Linked DNA regions of Bombyx mori. The protein of the gene in region 2 binds, or shares a complex with, the protein of the main gene of each other region. Links are inferred from orthologs where the notes say so. Each region holds a gene or a part of one and is shown on either strand. Other genes may lie near its edges.

Region 1 (7,351 bases), on a different chromosome or scaffold from region 2:
AAGAGCTATCCCTCTGGGAGCCGTGCTTTTTGGTCGCTCGCCAAAGCTGCAGAAGGAAACTTTTGCAGGTCTAGTCTCCCACCACTGCGCAAGTCCGATGACACTCTGGCCCACAGCGCGAAAGAGAAGGCTGACCTTCTGGTCAAACTCTTCGCCTCGAACTCGACTGTGGACGACGGGGGTGCCACACCACCGAACATCCCCCGGTGTGATAGCTCCCTGCCGGATATCTGCTTCACACAGTGTGCAGTCAGGCGGGAGCTCCGACTCCTGGACGTCCATAAGTCGAGTGGGCCAGACGGCATCCCCGCAGTGGTTCTGAAAAAGTGCGCCCCTGAGCTGACGCCTGCGCTAACGCGTTTGTATCGCCTCTCTTATTGCACTAACAGGGTTCCGTCTTCATGGAAGACCGCCCACGTCCACCCTATCCCCAAGAAGGGTGACCGGTCGGACCCATCGAGCTATAGGCCTATCGCGATAACTTCCTTGCTTTCCAAGGTGATGGAGCGAATAATAAACACACAACTCCTGAAGTATCTTGAAGATCGCCAGCTGATCAGTGACCGACAGTACGGTTTCCGTCACGGTCGTTCAGCTGGCGATCTTCTTGTATACCTTACTCACAGGTGGGCTGAAGCCTTGGAGAGCAAGGGCGAGGCTCTTGCTGTGAGCCTTGATATCGCGAAGGCCTTCGACAGGGTCTGGCATAAGGCGCTTCTGTCGAAGCTTCCATCTTACGGAATCCCCGAGGGTCTCTGCAAGTGGATCGCTAGCTTTCTGGATGGGCGGAGCATCACGGTCGTTGTGGACGGTGATTGTTCTGATACCATGACCATTAATGCTGGCGTTCCACAAGGTTCGGTGCTCTCCCCCACGCTTTTCATCCTGTATATCAATGACATGCTGTCTATTGATGGCATGCATTGCTATGCGGATGACAGCACGGGGGATGCGCGATATATCGGCCATCAGAGTCTTTCTCGGAGCGTGGTGCAAGAGAGACGATCAAAACTTGTGTCTGAAGTGGAGAACTCTCTGGGGCGAGTCTCCGAGTGGGGTGAATCGAACTTAGTTCAATTCAACCCGTTGAAGACACAAGTTTGCGCGTTCACTGCGAAGAAGGACCCCTTTGTCATGGCGCCGCAATTCCAAGGAGTATCCCTGCAACCTTCCGCGAGCATCGGGATACTTGGGGTCGACATTTCGAGTGATGTCCAATTTCGGAGTCATTTGGAAGGCAAAGCCAAGTTGGCGTCCAAAATGCTGGGAGTCCTCAACAGAGCGAAGCGGTATTTCACGCCTGGACAAAGACTTTTGCTTTATAAAGCACAAGTCCGGCCTCGCGTGGAGTACTGTTCCCATCTCTGGGCCGGGGCTCCCAAATACCAGCTTCTTCCATTTGACTCCATACAGAGGAGGGCCGTTCGAATCGTCGATAATCCCATTCTCGCGGATCGTTTGGAACCTTTGGGTCTGCGGAGGGACTTCGGTTCCCTCTGTAGTTTGTACCGAATGTTCCATGGGGAGTGCTCTGAGGAATTGTTCGAGATGATACCGGCATCTCGTTTTTACCATCGCACCGCCCGCCACCGGAGTAGAGTTCATCCATACTACCTGGAGCCACTGCGGTCATCGACAGTGCGTTTCCAGAGGTCTTTTCTGCCACGTACCATCCGGCTATGGAATGAGCTCCCCTCCACGGTGTTTCCCGAGCGCTATGACATGTCCTTCTTTAAAAGAGGCTTGTGGAGAGTATTAAGCGATAGGCAGCGGCTTGGCTCTGCCCCTGGCATTGCTGAAGTCCATGGGCGACGGTAACCACTCACCATCAGGTGGGCCGTATGCTCGTCTGCCTACAAGGGCAATAAAAAAAAAAAAAAAAAAAATTCTCAAACCTCCAACAAACTTTCACGACCAGATGAATAATACCAGGGACACATGCGACACATCTACCACCCAACCCCAAGCTGGGATTCTTTTTTTGAGGGATTACTGGTGGCCCGGAGGCCTTTCCAGTTTCACCAGGACAGGTGGGCGAGCACGCGCTCAGCCAAGAGGGGTGGGATTTACTAACAGCTACCCGAGCGCCTCCAAAGGAGACCTAACCACTCGACAGTAGCTGCTTCGTGAATGAATTTTTGTATTTTTAAGTTATTTAAATTTTTTTGTGGGTAATTTCTTTCTGAATTCCTTAGCTTTTTTTGAAAAATATGTAAAATTAAGCTCAGCACCAAAGTGATTATTAATAATGATTGAGGCGCCGAGTGATCGGAAACTATAAATAATTGGAGACGTGGTTAATAAGAAATACAAAAACCGCGTGATAAATCGGTAAAAAGAGTTCTAATTAAGTCTTGGCTCGCGTAGTCCAACAGATGTGTGTTGCATTACACATATTTGTTTTAATAAATTTTTTGGACTGAAGGTTGCAGATGGGAGACGAGATGTCTAAACGCAAGAAATTTATGTTCATGACGTGGGTAGGACCGAACGTGTCTGTGATCAACCGAGCCAAGATGTCCACCGACAAAGCTATCATCAAGGACATCATATCGGTTCGTATAAGCCCATTTTATTTTTGGATAAGTTCTTCCCCCGCGTGCTTACAGCTTCTTTTTGTTCAATCCTAAACATCTCCCTAAATTAATCACGAAATTGAAAAAAAAATTATCAAAAAAATTGTTCCGAATTGCAGGATGTGCCAGCTATTTTAATAATACGGATTGGACTTTGACCTCATTTTTCAAATTGGTTGGAACCATGGACCATGAGCTCATTTACCCATATAAGTACTAAAAATCAAATTGTTTCAGAAAAATGTTTATTAGAGAAATATGTATCGCAACTTGACAGCAATACATCAAATAAAATCATACAAATATTTTCTAATGTTAAAACCGACAGTCTGAGCAATGGCTGAAATGAAATCATAGCCAACAATACATTTATATTTTGCTGTATCTAAATCTATCTCTTTGCTTCCCGCTATCAATTTTAGCTCAACTAATGTCGCTATTTGTGCCAACAGATTGCTGGTTAAACCGATCTTATCTTCTAAGATAGCATAGAATATTGCCAACAATCGATCTAAAGTAAAAACTTTAGGACCGAGCTGTGTACTTAATTTTTCATTAATTTTAGCCTTTGCTTTGATTTGTCTCATTTGTTTACGTTGTTTCCCGTGGTTCTTCATAAACAATCTCTTGTCTTCTTTGGGCGGATTGTAGCTAGCCAAATATGCTGCAATTAGTAAGTATTTCGCAAAGTATGGTAGTTCGAAGCTTTGTGCAAATGTTTTTGTAGAAGAAAGTTCATCTTTTAACGTTTTCTCCAGACAGAATTCTTTGGCATATAAGCTTTCACTGTTTTCTTTACCCGGTGAAGGTTTGAATTGCCTCATATCACTAATTCTTAAGTATAAAAGTTCTAGGCTTGTTTTCAAGATTGGTGAGATGTGTCTCCACAATTTAGTTAGATCATTTGATTGTATTTCACCTTTTATGATTGGTTCACAGTATTTGATGAAGTTTAGGCGTGCCATATGCTTTAATTCAATAAGGTCTCGACATGGCCTATAGAATACACTCAAGAATGCATTCAAGAAGTTTGCAAATAACTCTGGTTTTTCAATTAGTTCTGTTGTTTCATCTTCTATGTCAAAATGGTTCAGCAAATGCTGTACAAATGATTTTTGGTAGAGAAATATTATCCTGAATAACTCTTCTTTGTTATAGTTAGGGAAGTAGAGTTTTATGGGCTCTCGTACACCGAATTTGAAATTAAAATTTTCGAATATCAAATGCGTCACCAATATCGTGCAGATGTTCAATTTACAAAATTCTCTAAGCTTTAGTAGCACTGGCAAGAGGTTCTGATCCATGTTGCGTAGTCTCTCGACTCTATCGAATACAATTACTATTGGTTCATAATTATTTTGAAGCCGGTTCAAACAGTTTATAAAATCCATGAAATTTTCACATTTCACGTCCTCGTCTTCATCGTTGAGGGCAGACAATATGTTCTCGAACATTATCTTTGACGAATAACACTCGATACAGTCGACAAATACATGTTTATAACTTAAATAATTGAGAACAGTTTGTAAGCATAACGTTTTGCCGGTTGCCATACTTCCACTTATAAAAATAGAACACGGCAATGGTTCGTTGTCATCTCCGAATAAATTGAACAAATCGTTTAACTGATTCTCTCTGCACACAACTTTACTGTATATTTCATCCATTTTAATATAATTTATTTTATTTACGTAAGCTTTTGTGTTAATTCAATTCTATAACGTATGTTCAGGTTTGACATTTTTGCGCACATTCCAATTTTGACAACTTTGAACTTTGTAAATTTCATTTGATAGTCTGTGCTTCAAATAAAGTGCCGGCTTAGTACGACGAATATTGAGAATCAAAAAAGATACCTACTTTAATTCGTTTTATTCGTAATTCATTTGGATTTAAAATTAATTATTAGAACCTTGTTTTATTAATATTTTATTATTATCAGACAGATATTGACAGACACAAATATATAAAAAAATAATTTGAAATTAGGAAGGTCTAGTTTCACTCACCTTTCAATTTCAATGCTAGTTCTCAATTAACTAGTTTTTATTATGTTTCAGAACTTTGCTGTGGAGTTGCAACTTGAAAATCAGTCTGAGATAGACATCGACCAATTCAAGGATGCACTCAATAGGGCAGGGGGAGCGAACTACGGCACTGGCGTTAGAGATTTATGAATAGAAAATGTTTGCCCCGCACTTGCCACATGGAATTTTAAACGAATATTGTCTCTTTCATTCTATTATATAAATAATGAGTGCAAAGATACAATATTATACATAAAAATATTTTACAAGTGGATTTTAGGACTTATATTTTAATTGGGGCCGTGGCTTGGCCATTTTTGTAGTCGAGCAATAATTCATTAGTCATTTTTATTATCTTGTGTCAAATTGATCACATTTTTAATCACGTATAGAAATTCATTATTTATTTTTCAAAAATACACATGTTATATAATATTCTTCAGTGTAGTTTTAATAAGGATTTACCAAATAAAAAGTAGATAATCTGTCGTGCATTTTAGTAAGCGCGGTGAACGCATTTATTTTTTACTTAAAATTTTTAAAAATCTTTAATACTAAATTGAATTTAATGTAAACAAGCTTTTTATACATTGACTAGTAATGTAAATTGATATCAATAAAACCATGATTTCCAATATATTTTTTGTTTCATTCCGGTGTGTCAGAAACTTTGAGTGTCGGCGTTTTCGTTTGCTTGCGATGTTTTTCAAATTATTGAAGACTAACGGAATGTTACTTTGGTAATAAATATTTCTACCAGAAGAGGAATCTGTTAAATACCCATCCATTTTCGTAGATTCAACTCATGTTCGCAAAGTCAGTATTTTCAACGACCATCATCATTTCACTAGGAAGTTTATAAGATATTTGAGGCGGTCAGCGCAAAAGTGCCTTAACCCACAATTCATATTCGTCTTTATGTATTGCAATTTATTTAATACATAATAAATTTTGATGCAAAATCGCCCAAGTTTCACACAGATAACAGATGCCTTTGTAAACATTATTTTTGGACGTATTTTTTGGCTGGCGAAGTATTGTAAAGATAAATTCAAATCTCAATATCTCCATAATAACTATGGTAAGCTTAGACCACTTTTGCGCTGACGGACCTCATTTATACTATACATTAACAGTAAGATATTTGCCGATGATAAGTACCTCTCAGCGGATCTACGCGTATCCTAGGTCATATCATACGGAATAAAACAACAATGGCTACCCAAATATTAAGTTTTTTATTTTGCAAAAAAAAAAGAATAAAATGTTAGAATAGTGATCGGTAATACCACATAGTTCCTTAATAAAAATATAAGGTGACACTGCGACTTGGTTCTGATGGAACACATTTATTTACTTATTACTAAAAAAAAAAATCTGCCTTTTAATTTGGCTACTAAATATATTCATGGTCTTTAATTGAAAAACAACAGATTTTTTATTTAATTCATCACATTAAGGCAATGAATCAGCAAGTGAATTATTTTTCAGATTTGAACAACAAATGAGTCGTCTATTATCAAAGGTGGCAATCTGTGCATTTGAACAAGAAAATGTTATTGATATGTCAATACAGATTGATTTGAATATAATCGTCTCCTTCAAAGAATACGGTTCAAAACCTGCATTAAATAAAGGTTAATACTTAACCTGTTATTTATCTAAGATCTCGTTCAGAAGAGTTTTGTGGCTGCCAATGGAATACAAAGTCAATAATTCGTTTTTCTGATTTACCAATAATTGTCCAAAAGTCACATTGCCGGCTTTGATAATAGTCGACTCAAATAGTTGAAGGATACACAAAACCCTGTATTCTAGATAAGCATTAAAATACTTCCCACGCTATTTTCACTTACAAATACATTAATATAGTACAACATTACATTTTGTATAAGTTGAACGAGATGGTAACAATTTTACAAACAACAGTTTTATTGTACATTAATTAAATTACTTAATATTGCTTATTCGTTTTATTTTAAGGCGCTTTTTCAATGCGGATCAAATGCATACAAAAATTATTAATGTTAAAATATTATCACCCCACATCGCTCATTTTGGAAGGTCGTTTAGAACAAAATTATGTTTGTACCTAAATAAATATAATGGATAATAATTATAAAAAAATAATAAAAAAAATCTGATTTTTGTTTAGTACTCTCTATTTTCTTAAGAAGCTCGTTGGTTCGCGTTGCTGGCAGCGACACTTCGCTACAGACCTTTTTTTTTTTATATTTACAGTAATTCCCCCTATTACACGGTAGATTGGTTCCGCGTTATAGGAAACGCGTTGTAGTATTCACAAAAAACGCTTTTGTATGACCCCATATAACGCGTTATATACAAAAAATATATATGTACATATATAATACAATAATGCCAATGTTTTTACAATTCAAAAACTAGGAACAAAAATTGAATAAATTAATTTAATTTATTTTTATAACAACACAATTGACACAATGTGCAAAGGTACGCCAAATTCATTATGAACTGTACAGATATTAAATTTCACAGTACAGAAATATAACGTTACAAATCCCAGCGTTATATGGGGGAATGCCCGTGTTATACTAGGGACTGAAATCGCGTTATATGAAAATACATTATAAGGGTACCGTGTTATAAGGGGCATTACTGTATATCTATGCGCTATATCGCTGTGTCATACAAAAAATCATACCGATGCTAAATTGAGGGTACGAACTGGTTTCAACGTCGCTATGGAACTCGGGCTGTGGTGAGCTC
Region 2 (8,319 bases):
AACAGTATGTTCGGCGACGACAGCGACGACGAAAATGCGGACCGCATCGCAGTCCGCAGCCGCCGACGCGCCGTCCCGTCCTCCTGGTGCCAGCGCGCTAGAGTGACGGTAGCGTGCGGCGCAGCCTCAGCCCCCTTAGGTCGCCCCGTGACCATCACCGGGAGGAGACTGCCTCCTCATAGGGGCTGGAGCTGGACAAACGCCCTCCTCCGAACCCCGGCTCGACGGCGGCGGCACGGCGCCGAGAGGGAAGAAGAGCTCTCCCTCTCCCGTTCCGCCGCCTCCTTCCGCGAGATGGTGGACTCGCAGAAGTCGAGCATCGCCTGCCAGGACTCGTCGCTGCCGAGCATCGTAGCCACGACGGTCGGAAGCGACAAGTCCGGTCCTATTTTTGCAACGAGGACGCGGCGCTGCTCCGCGAAAGCGGTGCAGTACGCGAGCGTGTGCTCCACCGTGTCCTCGTTGCAGCCACTGCAGTGGTGGCACTTCGGCGTCGGCTCCCTCCGGGCGACGAGGTGCAGGTAGCGACCGAAACAGCCGTGTCCCGTGAGCACCTGTGTCGCTCGGAAGGTGAGACGTCCTCGGTCGCGATAGTTACAAAGGCTGCCCCATCCTTCAAACCGAAACGCATAACTGGTTCACGGCAGAAATAGGCAGGGCGGTGGTACCTAACCGTGCAGACTCACAAGTGGTCCTACCACCAAATAGTCAAATTGTCAAAACAAATACGATATACTATTTTTTTTATTTTCATATTTTATCTTAATTGTTTTGTTGGTTCTTATCCAATGGTCTTGCCTTTTCTTGCTACTGCCATTTATATCATGTCGTGACACATCACGTCAGAAATGGCACTTTAGCGGAAAGCCTATTTTTGTTTTATATAATAATACATAGTCATAAATAGTATTTACAAGGCTTACCTTGATAATGGGCTTGCTTTTGATTTGCTAATTGATGTTCAATAAGGATAGTGAAAATCCCTTTTGAATTCGATGTTAATGACTGATAAACGCTCCTGAGTGATGATAATTGTAGGGCGCCACTTTTGTGTGTCATTATAGAATTCTCGAAGGAAGTTTCTTCAGTATAAGGAACAAACGAAGTTACATCCCACCATGAAAAGTTGTATTTACTCAATTTAGAATAGTCCCATACTGAAAATTGAATTATTCTGCTTAATTAATCGTTTACGTGGTGTAGCGCTTTTTATATAACTTCAACGCTTGCGACGAAGGGCTCGGCGAGTATATTAGCCCACAGACACGGCCCACTCGCCGGATCTTCTCAGTGGTTTGCGTTTCCGATCTGATAGCAGATTCTGCGAAGCACAGCTCTTGCTAGGGTTAGTGTTAGTAACGTCGTCAGGTTAGAGCCCCGTGAGCTCACCTACTAGACCGGTGACAATGATATGGCCTCTCTAGATCATCAGCGTAGGTAGGAAAAAAACAAATAACTTCAAAAACTAAATTAAGTTTTTAGATTAATAATCACTTGCAAAAGTTAACTTAAATGCATATTTTAATCAAGTACTTTCTCATGCTAAAATTGAGCGTTTAAGAAAAAAAAGTAAGGTACTTACGTAACGGGGCATTAATATGATCGATCGTTGCAATGGTGTGCACATTCTTTATCTGAGATAGACTAGCCAAAGTAACTTGTGATTTAGAATTTCTTAACATAGGTCCATCGATGTTGTTTACTATCAGAAATAGGTCCACGCCATTTTCTGACAGCTGACTGTCAATCAATTTTACAACGCTGCCAATATTGGACGGTACAGTTGTATTCCCTAGTAGATCTACGACGATGCTTTCTAGGATATCCTTAATGGTGAGACTCGGAAAGAATCCATTTACCATTATACACGGAAACTTGTTCAACTTCTCAGCTTGAAACTGTTGGAGCAAAGTTCGTTTCGATCCTATGCCGTATAAAATAATACTAAAGTTTTCACTTAGTTCATACAGCCATCTGTCAAAGAGCTGTCGATGGTTATAGTTGAGCTCTGCTATTTTTTTCCTGTGTTCTGTTGATATATGTACAGTATCTGGAGAATTATCTTGAATATTCATGTTTTTCAATCTAGCAAGAGTGTGATCTGATGTGGCTATCTGTAATATTATAAATTTCTTTATTTAGACAATATCAAAGTAAGTTCAAATGAAAATCAATTAAAAATTGAGCTCGAATAAAAATAAAGCATCAACATGAAATCAATACAATATTGTATGCTGATAATTCAATAATTCAATTGGTATGAAGAAATAAACATACTAACTTTTTTACTAGAATTCATCATAAAATAGTTGTCAGGTTTTACGATGTATTCTGAATCCTTAATTTTCATTTTATTGTTCCTGTTTCTGGTGATTTGTGTTTTAACTGAATCTTTCCTCTGAGGTTTCTCATCTTCTACTGATGTTGATGATGATGATGAAGAATCAGATTGCTGCAGAAAATATTTTTATTAAAATAGTATATAGTATTTTCTTTGACATTCGAGAGTTGTAATCATTTAAAATGGTAATGGTTACAGTTTAATCACATGTTAAATAACACCTCAGTTGTCTGATGACCATGAAAACTCAAAGAAAGAAAAAGTTTTTCAGTCATTCTATCCTAAACAATAAGACGCCCAGTATATTTGTATCGGGTGGTGCTAAGTAGTAAGCAGGTACCAATTATCTAATGATATATGTATGTACAAACTTAACCCATGGCCATGATGAAGGAATAGCATCATACAATAACAGTCAAACAATAACAATTTACAATCTTTGTTTTTATTAATATGCAATTGAGGCATAGAACTCAAGGATCTGAGGATAAAAAATCCTGGCGTAGAGGAATTATAAGAGCTGGCCCAATTTAAAGTGGGAAAAGGAGTACAAAACTTCAGTACTATCAGTTTACCTCCTCATTTTCACTCTCATCTGGAACAAAATCACTGCTGCTTCCAGAAAAATCACCAGAACTATCACTGTCTACTTCCTGAATGATTCCTGAAAGAGATGTATGTAGTATGTAGATAACATTTGAGTGTACTCCAGTATATTGAGTATTTCAACAAATTTACTAAGAAAAAAAACTACCGGCTCATTACAATTTATGATCATTCTTAATTTGGGCCAACTGTTACAAAATCTTTGAGACTTCAACCTCATGTCAGGTCATTGGCATTGGTGTGTAGGTGGTCTCTTGTTACCAGACAATTACCAAACAGGCTCAAGCCATATAATACAAAAAAGGAAAACTCTGTCCTAACGTTAGTACTCCCAAAATTGCAGTACTTAATATGAATATAATAAACATCCTAGTGTTCATTTTATTCCTAGAGAACTGTATAACAAATATTATTTATTTCAACTTCTAATGTATTTGTTTTAACTTGCTTTTATACACGTATTTATGTTAAGAACTAAATTCTATTTTGAAATGATCATATGAATATCTATAACCCAATAAAACCAATTATTAACTGAAATGTTCAATTTTAAAAGTTGGAAGTTTTAAAAATTAATCAATATTAAGCTTTACCCCTATTTCTAGGACTTGCTGTGTATCTTTAAATTATTAAACTCAAAAATATTACTATAGTACTATTATATTGATGGGTGAAATCCACTTAAACCAAATGTTAAATAATATTATGTGAAATTTATCTTTGTAATTATGTTCTTTTTATTTGGTATTAGCATCAACAATTTCACATTTTTAATAGAACTTCAATTATGTTTACCCCATTCAACTAGCTGATGAAGTTTTATTGCCATGTTATTTTTTCCAAATTTTAAACTTTAAATTGGCTTTCAGCCTCAATATATACTATGTAATATATTTAAGTAATACTTACTTTTTTTTATTACTTCCCTAACATGTCTTGGAGTACCTGCTGCTTTTCTAATTGGGCTATGCAAATTTATTACTTTTTTAGGAGTTTTCAAACGTGTGAGTATTACTTTGGGTGAATTCATCATTGCTGATCTCACTGCATTCTGTAGATCATGCTTTGTGTGACGACCCTTAAATTTGAATATATCTTGACCCTCCACATCATCATCACTAAACAGTGCTGAAATTTACAAGAATGCAAAAATGTATTCCATTATAGCATTTTCTTGATTTTCACAAGTTGTAGACATAATTAATGTGAAACTAAACTATAAAAATAAGTATGTGTAACCAAATATTCAGCATTTTAAATTATTTTCTTTATAAATGTACTAAAAATTAAGTATGTACTTAGAATTTGATATATATATTACAAAAAATACATTAGGAAAAAATTTGCCTTTAAGAAAAGTTACTCATTCTCATTTTTATGTTGTTTAATTTCAAATTTAGATATAAACTGTACATTCAAAGTGTACCTCTGGGTTTCTGTGGACAAGAGTCGTCGATAATCTCGTCTTCTTCACTAGAAGTACTCACTCTACGGGGTTTCCGTTTAGAGGGTGACAATTCAAAAAAATCGTTGTATTTTTTCGGTTTTTGTCTAGTTCTCCCTGTTCGACGAGACGGGGTTTCGGGCAAATCGACTGTAAAAACATTAAAGATTTATTCCTATTGGCTTCATTTTAACTCCATAATGCTTAAGGCAATTTAATAAAATATTAGTAAAAAAAGCTGCGATAAATTTGTATTAAAATTTACCTGTCTCTGTTTCACTGTCGGATACTTTACCCTTGAGTTCACTTGACATACTTGTGGCAAATACTTCCCTTAAATTACTTTACTCCTTTAACAAATAATTTATTTGAGATTTATTAGTTACTTTTTAAAACAGTTGTAGTAGTAGCAAGTTAGATTTCAAACATTGCGTTATGTTCATAGATTATACACTTAATATATTAGAGATATAGGTTATGTTTTTGACATTGTTTAAAGTAGTAGTAGTTTTATTTTTTTAAATGGAAAGGCACCATACAGCCTAATCTTTTATATATATATATATTTTTATGAAATATGTTATTATGAAATGAAATAAAGCTGATTAATACGAAACATGGAATGGCATGAAATAAAATGAAAATTTTGAGACATTGATCAACTGGGATGAAATTAAATGAAATGAGATGAGATGATATGGGATGAAATATAATCTGAGTAAAATGGTGGTTGCTTACTGAGATTTTGTCATACCTAAAATGGAATTTTTAGGGATTGAAAGGTGAATGGGGAAAAAACCAGGAAAATTTTTCGACGCTCAATATTAGTTTTATATTCGTTGCAAAATCTTCCCTTTCTTGTAGTGTAATAGTAGAATGTTGAAAGTTCACAAGCAACTTTGAATATGCATGATAATAGCTGCTAACTTTAAAAAAATCGCATTTCAAATTAACTTCTTGTAGTGGTCATTATTTTAGTGCTAGAAACTTTGCTCTCTTTTATTTATTTGATAATAATAGGAGACGACTGTGATTTATAAACGTTATTCAGTATTTGAGCGATCATATGTTGTTATTGGTTTTAATGTTTTTTGATAATATAGAAATACATGTAAAAATCTATTATTTTTGGGGATAATGGGGACGTCTCAGGTACAAATAACAACGAATGAGGGGTCTATTGGGATGAAAATAAGTTCAATGGGAGTGAGTAAAGTATAAATAGGTACAGGTTTGTAGGATTGTCTATGTAGTTATAACAATCTTTTTTAAATGTATTGGTAAGAATCTGGTTTATTCATGATGTTTTTTTTTTTTTTTTTTTATTGCCTTTGTAGGCAGACGAGCATACGGCCCACCTGATGGTAAGTGGTCACCGTCGCTCAATGCTAGAACTTTTATTTAAAATTATCAATGCAGTGTTATTTTATTGTTTGACAAATATGTATATTATCAGTTACGTGTTGTTTTCTATTTTTAGATATGACTCGCGTGTACGTATCAAAGAGTGCAAAGCCTTATAAGAGATATGATCCCTTAATATTATTGCACCTATAAGTTATATCTGCCTGTACTTTTGTCAGTTTTTCAATGTTTTTTATTTATGATCACTTTGTTGGTGCAACTAAATAAATTAAAACCAGGTAGTGCCAGCCCTAGCAAATTTCTCTATTGACACTAATTTCGTCCCCATTAACTCCAACTTCCGGTAAATACGGGTAATCAATTATTTTTGCTTTTTTTGTTTAAGCTGGAATGTTAATTGCAGTTTTAAATTGGATAACAAAGATACCCCCAAGACTCAATCATTTTGACCCTGATATAGCATTAAATACATCAACAACTACCTTAAAATTGTTCAAAGTTTGAATTTGTCCCTAATCACCCCGTTTTATCGATACCGTACTTCATTGTCCTACCTCGAGGATTTGTCGAGAACCTTTATTCACTGTAAATAGGGTACCTGTTTATTATATATATTATAGAAATAGGTAAGGTCAATATAAGTTGTTTCTGATGGTAGACCGTCTGTCGTACTGGATTTAAACAAAGTTTAATCTATTAACTTATGTATGTTTTTCTGCCGCGTAGCGATTATGCGTCAAACACAAACGGAAGCATAGAGGGTAGTCTCACATATTATTATAGGGAGATTTTGTTACCTTACTCATAGTACATCAGGTGTAAATAATAAAAAAAAACAATACCTACATTTTTTTCTTTTATTGTTTAGATGGGTGGACGAGGTCACAGCCCACCTGGTGTTAAGTGGTTACTGGAGCCCATGGATCTACAACGTAAATGCGCCACCCACCTTGAGATATAAGTTCTAAGATCTCAGTATAGTTACAACGGCTGCCCCACCCTTCCAACCGAAACGCATTACTGCTTCACGGCAGAAAAAGGCAGGGTGGTGGTAACTACTCGCGCGGACTCACAAGAAGTCCTACCACCAGTAAAAATACACCTACATACTACATACTCATAGTTATAATATATATGAGCATTTCTCAAAATTATTGCACAATAGACTTTAGCCTCTGTCCCATTTTTTAATATTTTGTTCCGGCTAATATATTAGTTCATTACTACTTTTTATAAATTGTGTAAGCAGTATAACTACTCTACTGATTCGAAAGGAAAAAAACAGATATAAATACAATGAGATTTTTTCATTAAAAATATATATCATAAATCAGCTTCAACCAGTTGTATGAAAAGTGCAGTGTCCCAATCTCAATATCTTACCAAACCATCGATCTTTAGTTGAATGGACATGGGCATTGTATAAATAAAAAATATTATTTATTTACAGCCATAAGTCACAATTCATCCTAAAACATCCTTTTTAGCATTAATTTATAATTAAATTTCTAATTAATGATTTTAACTTGTCCCGTAAAAAGTTCCACCTAGAAACTCCAGTTTTTGTTACCATAATTCTGAAGAAATATGAGAATCGATTAATGCAATTATATTTTAGAATAATGGTAGCATTAGCCGGCTTGGCATCCGTCTTGTTTTAATTTCGACTAGTTCTTTCTGGTGCCGGTACGAACGGTAAAAGTCAATATTTAAGCTAGCGGTCAGAAAAAAATTCCACCTTTGTTACTCATAAAACATAGATAAGTGCAGATTTTATTGTTATTTCACTTAACCTACTATTAAAGCTCCCATTCTTGATTTCGTTAATCAAATCGAAATAAGAGTAATCGTGTGAGTTGCATGTGTTTACAAATAAAATGACATGTTGTTCTTGATTTGTTACTTCTTTTTTTGTTACTTTTGTGTGGTAACGTATAAATGGAAAAGAGAGTAACAAAATAGGAAATCATTAGGCTGAGTATATATAATATATTATTATTATTGTTGGCGACAGCGGCGTCGCCCCATAATTATAGAATAAGTTGAAGAATATAATAGAATATAGAATAGAATAATAGATTTATATAGATACGTACATAGACATAGAGTTATAACAAATAGATAAATTATATAGAGTGCATATAGATAGATAAGTATATAGATAACGTGCACATAGATTTTACTAAGAATAGAACGTAAGTTGCTTTGAAATAAATAGTATACACTTTTGCTTTATTATTCCCGATAGTTTTAAGATTAGCATATTAACTTAAATGAACACGCGCCCGGCCCGCGTCCCGAAACGATGTAACAAACAGCATTTATCTGTGTTCAGGACCGGGTATTTTGTTTATACGGGCGCGTCATATAGATTAAGCATAGAATAAGTTATATGTATCGATAGGGATTACAACATAGAATAGTTAAGTATAAGGCATTAGTATATACATTTATTAAATAAATAGATATAACGAATAAACCGAGCCGATCATAGTGAAAATGATCTCGACGAGAGCCGTATTTTACACGAGATCTCTGTAGGGTAACATTCCGAGGTAGTTAA
Region 3 (8,353 bases), on a different chromosome or scaffold from region 2:
GTTTATTAGTTAACACTGCCAAAAAAATATGTTCCAGTTCCTTCTTAGATTATTATCTAAAGAAAGAAGAGAAGCAACAAACTAACCTGATTCATATAAACCGCAGACGAATGTGAATGAAAAACTTTTATTAAAAGTTTCGATGACACCTCATATGGGAAAGACTTGTGCAATGCCGAAACAGATGTTGCCACCCCAAAAACAAGCACTATGGGCAAGGAAGATATGTACGAACTGAAATAAATTGAGTAACTATTTTATATTATACTATATTAGACATTCATTTAAAACTATATTTATTACCAGTAGAAATTGTAATACTTTTTTTGACATATTTCTACTATTGTAATTATATATTTTTCTTATTTTACAGCAGATAGCTTACTAATCTTACTATATTTCTTATGAAATTAAGTGACTGACGCCACTATACATGCGATCGAACTCTTAATTTAATTGTATCTATAACTATTACTATACTATACTACTATCATAATAATCTACTACTGTGAGTAATGATGTAGATTTAAATATTGATTTCAATTTTTAGTTTCCATTACATGAATTTGATATATATGAAGTTAGTAAAAATACTTTTACCTTATTATCATTACAAAATCTTGTAACAAGTGACAATTAAAGCTTTCAAAATCAGGTATTACTATTACTAATGTCTTTGTCGAAATTGATTTTTTCTTCTTATTAGTAGATTCATTTGTATATTTTGAATGGTACCACGTTTTCAGGGTTTTCATTGTACATTGACTCTTTTTTAATTTATGTTTTGTTGATAATACATCGCATTCTTCGTCATTTTTCTGCAAACAGAAACAAATAACAGTAAACATTACATTATAACAAGGGTGAGCAACGTTTTTAATCAATGGTCCAATTCAAATTTTAATTTTTTTTGGCGGGTCGCAGTTACTTTGACTCTTATTAATAATTTACGAAACTTTATTTGTAATAAACATTAGAATAGAAAATTATAAAACTAAAAAAAATGTAAAGATTTCATATACAAATTTTAATACAAAACAAATACAATGAAGAAAAGAGGCAAACACGCGGGATGAGATGCCCTACTTTTTTCCCGCGGTGCACATACTATTTTTTCTCCTACCAGGCCGAAAGTTCGTGGAGTACCGAGCCGGGGTCCAGAGGCGAAGCCCTGGCAGGAGGTAAGGGGGGCGGAGCCCCCTCATACTCATAACAAAACAATTTAACTGTTTTTTAATTTTTAAATAAAGTACTACTAATTGAATAAGAACTGTCTGATGAATTCATCTTTGTTTAATACTTCACTATTATATTTTATTGCCTTTAGTTTACTTCACTTTTACACTAAACACAATATTGCAAATTACCCGAGCACAACAATGACGGAGAATTATAGGTGCGTGAGAGCAGACGTAGACACTAACGCGCATGCGCACTTGTACCCAGGGAGGAAAAGTTACTATTTCTTCCATGTACAGCGGGAAGAAAACCGAACTTTCGGCATAGGTAGGAGAAAAATTAAATTATTCAGTTTCTTTTTTTATTGCTTTTGTCGCCGTCGCCGCGTCGCTCGCGAACTTTAGCAATGTCAAAGGCACAACTACTGCCGAGTCCTTTCCTTAAACTTCACTCGAAGAAGAGCATGTCATAGTAATCAGGAATTATTGTGTAGACAATTTCATTCCAAAGCTGTACGGTAAGTGCCGAAAAATATCATTGGAAACGCACTAGGGATAAACGCAGTGATTCTAGATAATATAGGAGAGCTCTGCTCCAGTCACGGCAGTATGATGGCATAAAGATGACCAGATCATCTCAAACTTGTAGGGAGTGGCTGCCTCTAGCAAACTCTGTCCTGGCAGTGCTGATGTCTATGAATGACGGTAATCACTCACCAGCTGTATGCTTTTGCGCCTACAGGCGATAAAAACAAAAAATCCTCAGAGCACTCCCTATGAATCATACGATAAACAGAGAGCTAAAGAGCTTTCATAGATCCTGATGATTCAAACCATTTATAAAAACAAATGACCTTATGTAATGAGTCAAATGAAAGTAGCTGCTATGTAATTCATGTGAGATGAACATGGGATTTATATGACATAGGTCTGTATGCAGGTGTGCTTCTTGGTTCTATTCAGAACTACCAACATTTTAAATGTCAACTTGGCAGTATCTCGATCCAGTACTTTGATACCAAGCACTGTGATGAAAGAGTTGTCTCTCTGTTGTTAGCCTGTAAGCCACTTACATATCTCATAGAAGTCACAATACAACTAGTAAAATATATTGGTGTTACAAAAACATTTCTAAATAGATTGACATCACTTACTAAATCATTCCCAATCAACTGCCAAACCATGTTCTCAACTATATGTTTTAATGATAACGAATCTTGTGAATTAACTATTGCCACATGAGGACTTATTTCATCTCTGTAAGAATTTTTAAAGTTAATAAACAGTCCCTTGCATTCCGGAATGAACTGATTATGACTACCAGTTTATGAGGTTTATGGTTCGGGATTGAGCAAGTCTTATTTAGGCTATTTCTTTAATTTTTCTTTCAGTCCTAAAATTAAGTAAATGTGTAGTAGACAATGAAACTTTGCTATGCTTAATCTGTAGGCATATGATATTAAAAGCAAATAAATAAACATGGTGTGGTAATAAATGCAATTGTAATTTATCATCAATTTGAATTTTCAAATAACTGTATCCTGAATTTTATTTCATTCATTTTTATCTCCATATTTCATTTTATCATACTATATACTTTTAGTCTTAATATATTACAGCTATTAATATTTGCTCATTTGGCTACATGCAATTATTATAGTTGGCACCACTTACTTTATTATATTTATGAGTGCATCAAATTGTGATACATGATCAGGCTGACTAACCCCAGTTAGTAGTGTTGCGCTAGGAATTATTCCTTCCAACATAAATGCTTCTTCACTTCCATAAAACTGCTTTATATAATTTACTATATCATTCAACAGCACACTGTAAGACCTTTGATTGAGTTCCTTTAAAAGATATACACATACATGTTGAAAAATGTTTTATTCCTTATTCATGTAAGAATAAGCAGCACTTAATATAAAAAAATCAATGCACAAGCCTTATTCAATATTCTGAATTATCCAACTATTGTTGGAATTGAAAGTTAAAATATCCAAGTAATAAAATCACTGGAGCAAAATCAAAACAACTAAGGCCAGGTACACATAGTATAAACAATTACTTATAGAAAGTAACATTTATGGCAACAACAATGGATGAGAAGCTCATTAAGGTGATACTATAAGTTGGGTAGGTTACTATAGGTATAAAGTGACCTGAGTTCAATCTGCTGCTAGGGTTTTGATGGTTTAGATGTATTCAGGACACATTTGAAAATAGTAACTACCACAATTTACTACTACTCCAATTTTTGCTTTACATCAAATTAAAAATCTATGAAAAGGCTACAATAAAAGACACAAAAGAGTTGTATGATTTTTTTTAAATATGGAAATAACAATATTTAGTAGTCTCCTGAATTATAGTTATCTTTAGTAGCTCTTAATTGAAGCTTAAGACATAACTGTATAAGTTTTTACAAGACAAAGTTTTTTTTCATGGCTGTATGACCGAACAGCTTTTCAGTATTTTCTGAATTCAACTTACATTTAATTTAGTTTTAATAGCTTCCCAATTTTTTCTATAAGTAAGATACCAACACTCTTCTTGAAATAATTTACAAAACAATAAATTTGTTTTTTTCTTTGAAAGAGTTTTCGAGTTTTGAAATCCATTTGGAAATAAAAACACTCCCTGTAATTTGAAAAACAATTAAAATTAATTATTCTATCTCTCAAACAGTAATATTTCATTACTTTTAAGCAGTAAATAAAAAAAATACTTTACCTTTGAAACTGACACAGTGGATTCCATTGAATTCCGTTCTTAATTCTATAATAATCTTTCTTCATAGAATATTAAACTGTAGTACAAAACCGAAAAAAACAATGTTTAACCTGGTTTAACCTTTTTTTTTTTAAAAGATTTTATGACCTGGTAACTAAGACCTTTAAGTCATGTCTTATTTTAATTTATAATCTTATTTTATGAAAAATGATAATATGGAGTGAAATGAAATGAAGATGATTGATTTGAGACATTAATCAACTGGGATGAAATTTAATGAGATGATATGGGATGAAATATAATCGCAGTAAAATGGTGGTCATTTACTGAGATTTTTTCAGTGGACTTTTTGGAGGAACCCGAGAAGTTACGTCCAGCAGCTTTGTTTCATTTTCCCACATTTGTGCACTTTCACAGATATTAAACAGTTAATAAACCACCATTATTACACATTTAAACCCGAAGAAACACTAAATAGACAAAATAAAACAAATCACACAACTGCACTCCTCGCGTTCCCGCCAAAAAGTCTGGTTTAACCTTTTTAATTTCAGTCATAGATTAAACATATAATTTATTTGAGATTTCCATAGAGTTACTATTCTAACTGGAGTGCTTACTTCGTTTGACATAAAAACTAAAAATATACTTTATCTCTATGGCTTAAAGTTTATTTTTAAATAGCAAAAGATGTAAGGAAAAACGGTCTGAAAAGAGAATGACTATTAAGTGGTGGTGTCCCTCTCGCACATTTTACAAACAAAAAGCAGTGTTGCTAGCTTAGAGGATTTTCCACAAAATCTCGTAATTTGGACCCCTGTCTTAGTTATCAGTAGTATCAGTAGTAGCTTGGGCTTTTTTTTTATTGCTTAGATAGGTGGACGAGCTCACAGCCCACCTGATGTCAAGTGGCTACCGGAACCCATAGACATCTACAACGTAAATGCGCCACCCACCTCGAGATACAAGTTCTAAGGTCTCAGTACAGCTACAACGGCTACCCCACCCTTCGAACCGAAACGCATTACTGCTTCACGGCGGAAATAGGTGGGGTGGTGGTACCTACCCGTGTGGACTCCCAAGAGGTCCTACCACCAGTAATTACGCAAATTATAATTTTGCGGGTTTAATTTTTATTACACGATGTTATTCCTTCACCGTGGAAGTCAATCGTTAACATTTGTTGAGTGCGTATTTCATTAGAAAAATTGGTACCCGCCTGCGGGATTCGAACACCGGTGCATCGCTTCATACGAATGCACCGGACGTCTTATCCTTTAGGGCGTTGTTGAAAATTATCGAAAAGGTTAAAATCAATCCACTTTACAGGATTTTAAACATTTTATGACAATAATATATCTAAATACATATTATTTAAACGATGTGACTTAAACTTAACTAGAAAATGCTGCGAGAATTTAGAATTTCCATCAACGTCAAAAATTAAATTGGTTCAAAAGAAACGTACAAAGTCATGGTGAAATTAGTTGCTGATGATGACAATTTATTAAAATAAATTATATAAGAAGTATTGATTATATGATATATATTGATTTTTATTAGAACATCATATATTAATAAAGCTCATTAACAAAAAAAATATTGTTCTATATTAATAAGAACTCTGTTTAATGGAAAATTTAATGGTAGGTAAGTAGATTTCTGATGGTTTTCATGGGAAGCCAGATTAATTGTTGGCATCACCGAAAAAGAGCTATGAATGGATTAAAAGAAAAATGGCGTCTATTTACGTTTGTAGTTCGAAGTTAAAAGGGCACTGATACAGCTTGTGGCTTGTTTTTTTCCGAAAATCGTGAAAGTTTCCGTGTAATCATGGCGAACACTTGTATTGTAAGTGGTTTTAAGCGAGAATCCTCTCCAGTTTGTGGAATATCCTTCCATATATCAGATTCATTGATAAATTTTTACTAGTGTGAGTATATATTTTTAAAATGTTAGATATTTTTTCTCATAATAATATTTAATACCATTTGTCTTGTAAATTGTACTTAATCTATGTCATATATTAAATTTGAAAAAACAATCGTGAAAAACTATAATTTTGCAATGTATTTTTCATATTATAAGAGGAATCACGTGGTATTTTTTTGACTTTGTTTATTGTATTGAATAGCGTCGCACGCAAGCATGTATATCATTTGCCTGACGTCAAGCGAACGAGGAGGATCTTCTAGTAAATATGACGTTGGAATTTCTGGAAAATGTCCTATATAAAGGTCAAACAAGAGGAATCAAGTACTCAAACGCAAGAAATAAAAAATGCCCCGAGAAAAGCAAAATTACGACAAGATGTTAAGGTTTTGAAACAAAAACTTAAAAGTCGCGAAATAGTGATTGTAAATATAAAGTCGATTTTAGATTTATTAAAGAAAAATGGCGATTTTTAATTGAATTGAAATTTAAATTGCGAAATTTTAATGATACTCATGGTCCACTTAGATATTGACTAAAATAAATTATTTATTTCGTTGAAAAAAAAAGAATTTACATAAAATAGGGGAAATGTTATATTATTTATTTATTTTATTAGGCTCACAATACACATCACAAGCTAAAGATACATAAAAAACACAAATAAAAAGAAACAATATCTGGCTAATAAGACTACAGAAAATTAACTGAACTTAATAATAATAATATAACCAATATTTTGTAAATAGAGATCAAGTACTATGTGTATTGTGTTATGTGTATTGACTTGTCATTTAAGAGTTATTTAATTGTCTACATATAACAAATAAATTAATTTCAGTTCATTTCATTTTATTACCCATTGTGTTTTATTTATTAAAATGTAACTAGTAGACTTAATATAAACGTAATATAATATAATATAATATAATATAATATAATATAATATATAACTTAATATAAGGTAAATTCAAAACTGATGCATGTGTATAATTTTGTCCTATAAATAAATTTTATATGGTCACCACATTAGACAAGGACACCGCGACCAAAAAGTATTCTCTTTCGAGACCGATTTCTCGGCATTAGACAGCACTCCAGTTGTAGGTACTTATTAACTCCATGGAGATTTCATAGTAGTAAATTTATTTTTCCAAATGGAAAGACAAAGGTATCATACCATACATCCTAATCTTTTCTATATATTTTTTTTGTACAATATGATATTGTGAAATGGAATGAACTTGATTAATATGAAATATGACATGAAATGAAATAAAATGTGATGATATGAGATGGGATATTTTTGTGAAAAATTATAATATGGAGTGAAATGAAATGAAGGTGATTAATTTGAGACTAATCAGCTGGGATGAAATTAAATGAAATGATATGAGATGATATGGGATGAAATATAATCTCAGTAAAATGGTGGTAATTTACTGAGATTTATTCAGTAGACTTTTTGGAGGATTCCGAGAAGTTACGTCCGAGAAGTTACGTAAAATAGGAGTTATCCCTATTTACTCAGAAATTGTGGTTATTGGGGACGAAATTAGTGTTCATAGAGAAATTTGCTAGGGCTGGCACTCCTTGGTTTTAATTTATTTATTTATTTAGTTGCACCAACAAAGTGCACCAATAAAATAAAAAATATTGAAAAACTGACAAAAGTACATGGCAGATGGCACCTCAATCATAGGTCGCAATCGGACAACTCCGAATGAACATTAACGGAGCGCGGTCTCCGTTAATATTCATTCAATAAATAAAAGAGAGCAAAGTTTCTAGCACTAAAATAATTACCACCACAAGAAGTTTTTTATTTTTTTATTGCTTAGATGGTTGGACGAGTTCACAGCCCACCTGGTGTTAAGTGGTTAATGGATCCCATAGATATCCACAACGTAAATGCGCCACCCACCTTGAGATATAAGTTCTAAGGTCTCATATAGTTACAACGGCTGCCCCACCCTTCAAACTGAAACGCATTACTGCTTCACGGCAGAAATAGGCAGGGCGGTGGTACCCACCCGCGCGGACTCACAAGAGGTCCTACCACCAGTAATTACGCAAATTATAATTTTGCGGGTTTCATTTTTATTACACGATCGTGAACATTTGTTGAGTACGTATTTCATTAGAAAAATTGGTACCCGCCTGAGATTCGAACATCGGTGCATCGCTCAACACGAATGCACCGGACGTCTTATCCGTTAGGCCACGACGACTTCAAAATTATTTTAATTATTGATACTTAATTTGAAACGCGATTTTTTGTAAGTTAGCAGCTATTATCATGCATATTCAGAGTTGTTTTGTGAACTTTCATCATTTTACTATTACACTACAAAAAATGGAAGATTTTGCAACGATTAAAAAACTAGTATTGCGCGTCGAAAGATTTTCTTGGTTTTTTCCCCAATCACCTCTCGATCCTTAATCGCCCCATTTTACGGTACTTATTAACTCCATGGGTAGTGGATAATAAATTTGAAATCTTAATA

Evidence for each region.
Region 1: the proteins of origin recognition complex subunit 2 (region 2) and ORC5 are in contact, whole or in part, in a crystal structure (PDB 4XGC), measured with the Drosophila melanogaster proteins. The link is inferred for Bombyx mori from reciprocal best matches to the Drosophila melanogaster genes Orc2 and Orc5. Residues at the interface, in NP_731873.1 of Drosophila melanogaster: Asp438, Arg443, His468, Asn470, Thr471, Pro472, Leu473, Leu474, Trp475, Asp476, Gln477, Leu480, Trp487, Ser521, Ser524, Glu564; in NP_477132.1 of Drosophila melanogaster: Lys169, Ile382, Cys401, Asn402, Leu404, Ser405, Ile407, Ser408, Thr409, His412, Asn424, Ile425, Met426, Glu427.
Region 3: the proteins of origin recognition complex subunit 2 (region 2) and origin recognition complex subunit 3 are in contact, whole or in part, in a cryo-EM structure (PDB 7JK6), measured with the Drosophila melanogaster proteins. The link is inferred for Bombyx mori from reciprocal best matches to the Drosophila melanogaster genes Orc2 and Orc3. Residues at the interface, in NP_731873.1 of Drosophila melanogaster: Ala331, Ile332, Lys342, Met344, Cys345, Ile346, Leu347, Asn348, Glu349, Phe351, Tyr356, Leu358, His369, Lys375, Thr377, Val378, Leu379, Val380, Val381, Asn382, Phe385, Asp392, Ser396, Asp400, Ile401, Leu402, Asp403, Asn410, His412, Glu413; in NP_476904.1 of Drosophila melanogaster: Gly10, Cys11, Phe12, Val13, Tyr14, Lys15, Asn16, Ala18, Thr19, Arg20, Ser38, Leu39, Leu40, Tyr50, Tyr53, Arg54, Asn106, Pro108, Arg135, Asp136, Ala142, Arg177, Arg180, Asp308, His312, Gln316, Lys319, Tyr320, Met323, Phe327.

Annotation. Positions count from the first base shown.
Region 1 is NC_085126.1:11,149,514-11,156,864, forward strand, and holds ORC5 (origin recognition complex subunit 5), read right to left. Parts: upstream 4,316-7,351; 5' UTR 4,244-4,315; coding exon 2,861-4,243; 3' UTR 2,805-2,860; downstream 1-2,804. Other genes in the region: cyclic AMP-regulated protein, read left to right, coding at 2,426-2,555, 4,637-4,753. UniProt on the Drosophila melanogaster protein: Component of the origin recognition complex (ORC) that binds origins of replication. DNA-binding is ATP-dependent, however specific DNA sequences that define origins of replication have not been identified so far.
Region 2 is NC_085115.1:9,010,213-9,018,531, forward strand, and holds the start of origin recognition complex subunit 2, read right to left. Parts: upstream 5,115-8,319; 5' UTR 4,706-5,114; coding exon 4,657-4,705; intron 4,542-4,656; coding exon 4,374-4,541; intron 4,076-4,373; coding exon 3,857-4,075; intron 3,006-3,856; coding exon 2,917-3,005; intron 2,453-2,916; coding exon 2,282-2,452; intron 2,115-2,281; coding exon 1,583-2,114; intron 1,158-1,582; coding exon 924-1,157; intron 1-923. UniProt on the Drosophila melanogaster protein: Component of the origin recognition complex (ORC) that binds origins of replication. DNA-binding is ATP-dependent, however specific DNA sequences that define origins of replication have not been identified so far.
Region 3 is NC_085128.1:8,980,239-8,988,591, reverse strand, and holds the start of origin recognition complex subunit 3, read right to left. Parts: upstream 4,455-8,353; 5' UTR 3,942-4,454; coding exon 3,915-3,941; intron 3,822-3,914; coding exon 3,675-3,821; intron 3,038-3,674; exon of another isoform or gene 3,032-3,037; coding exon 2,853-3,031; intron 2,436-2,852; coding exon 2,333-2,435; intron 819-2,332; coding exon 601-818; intron 235-600; coding exon 87-234; intron 1-86.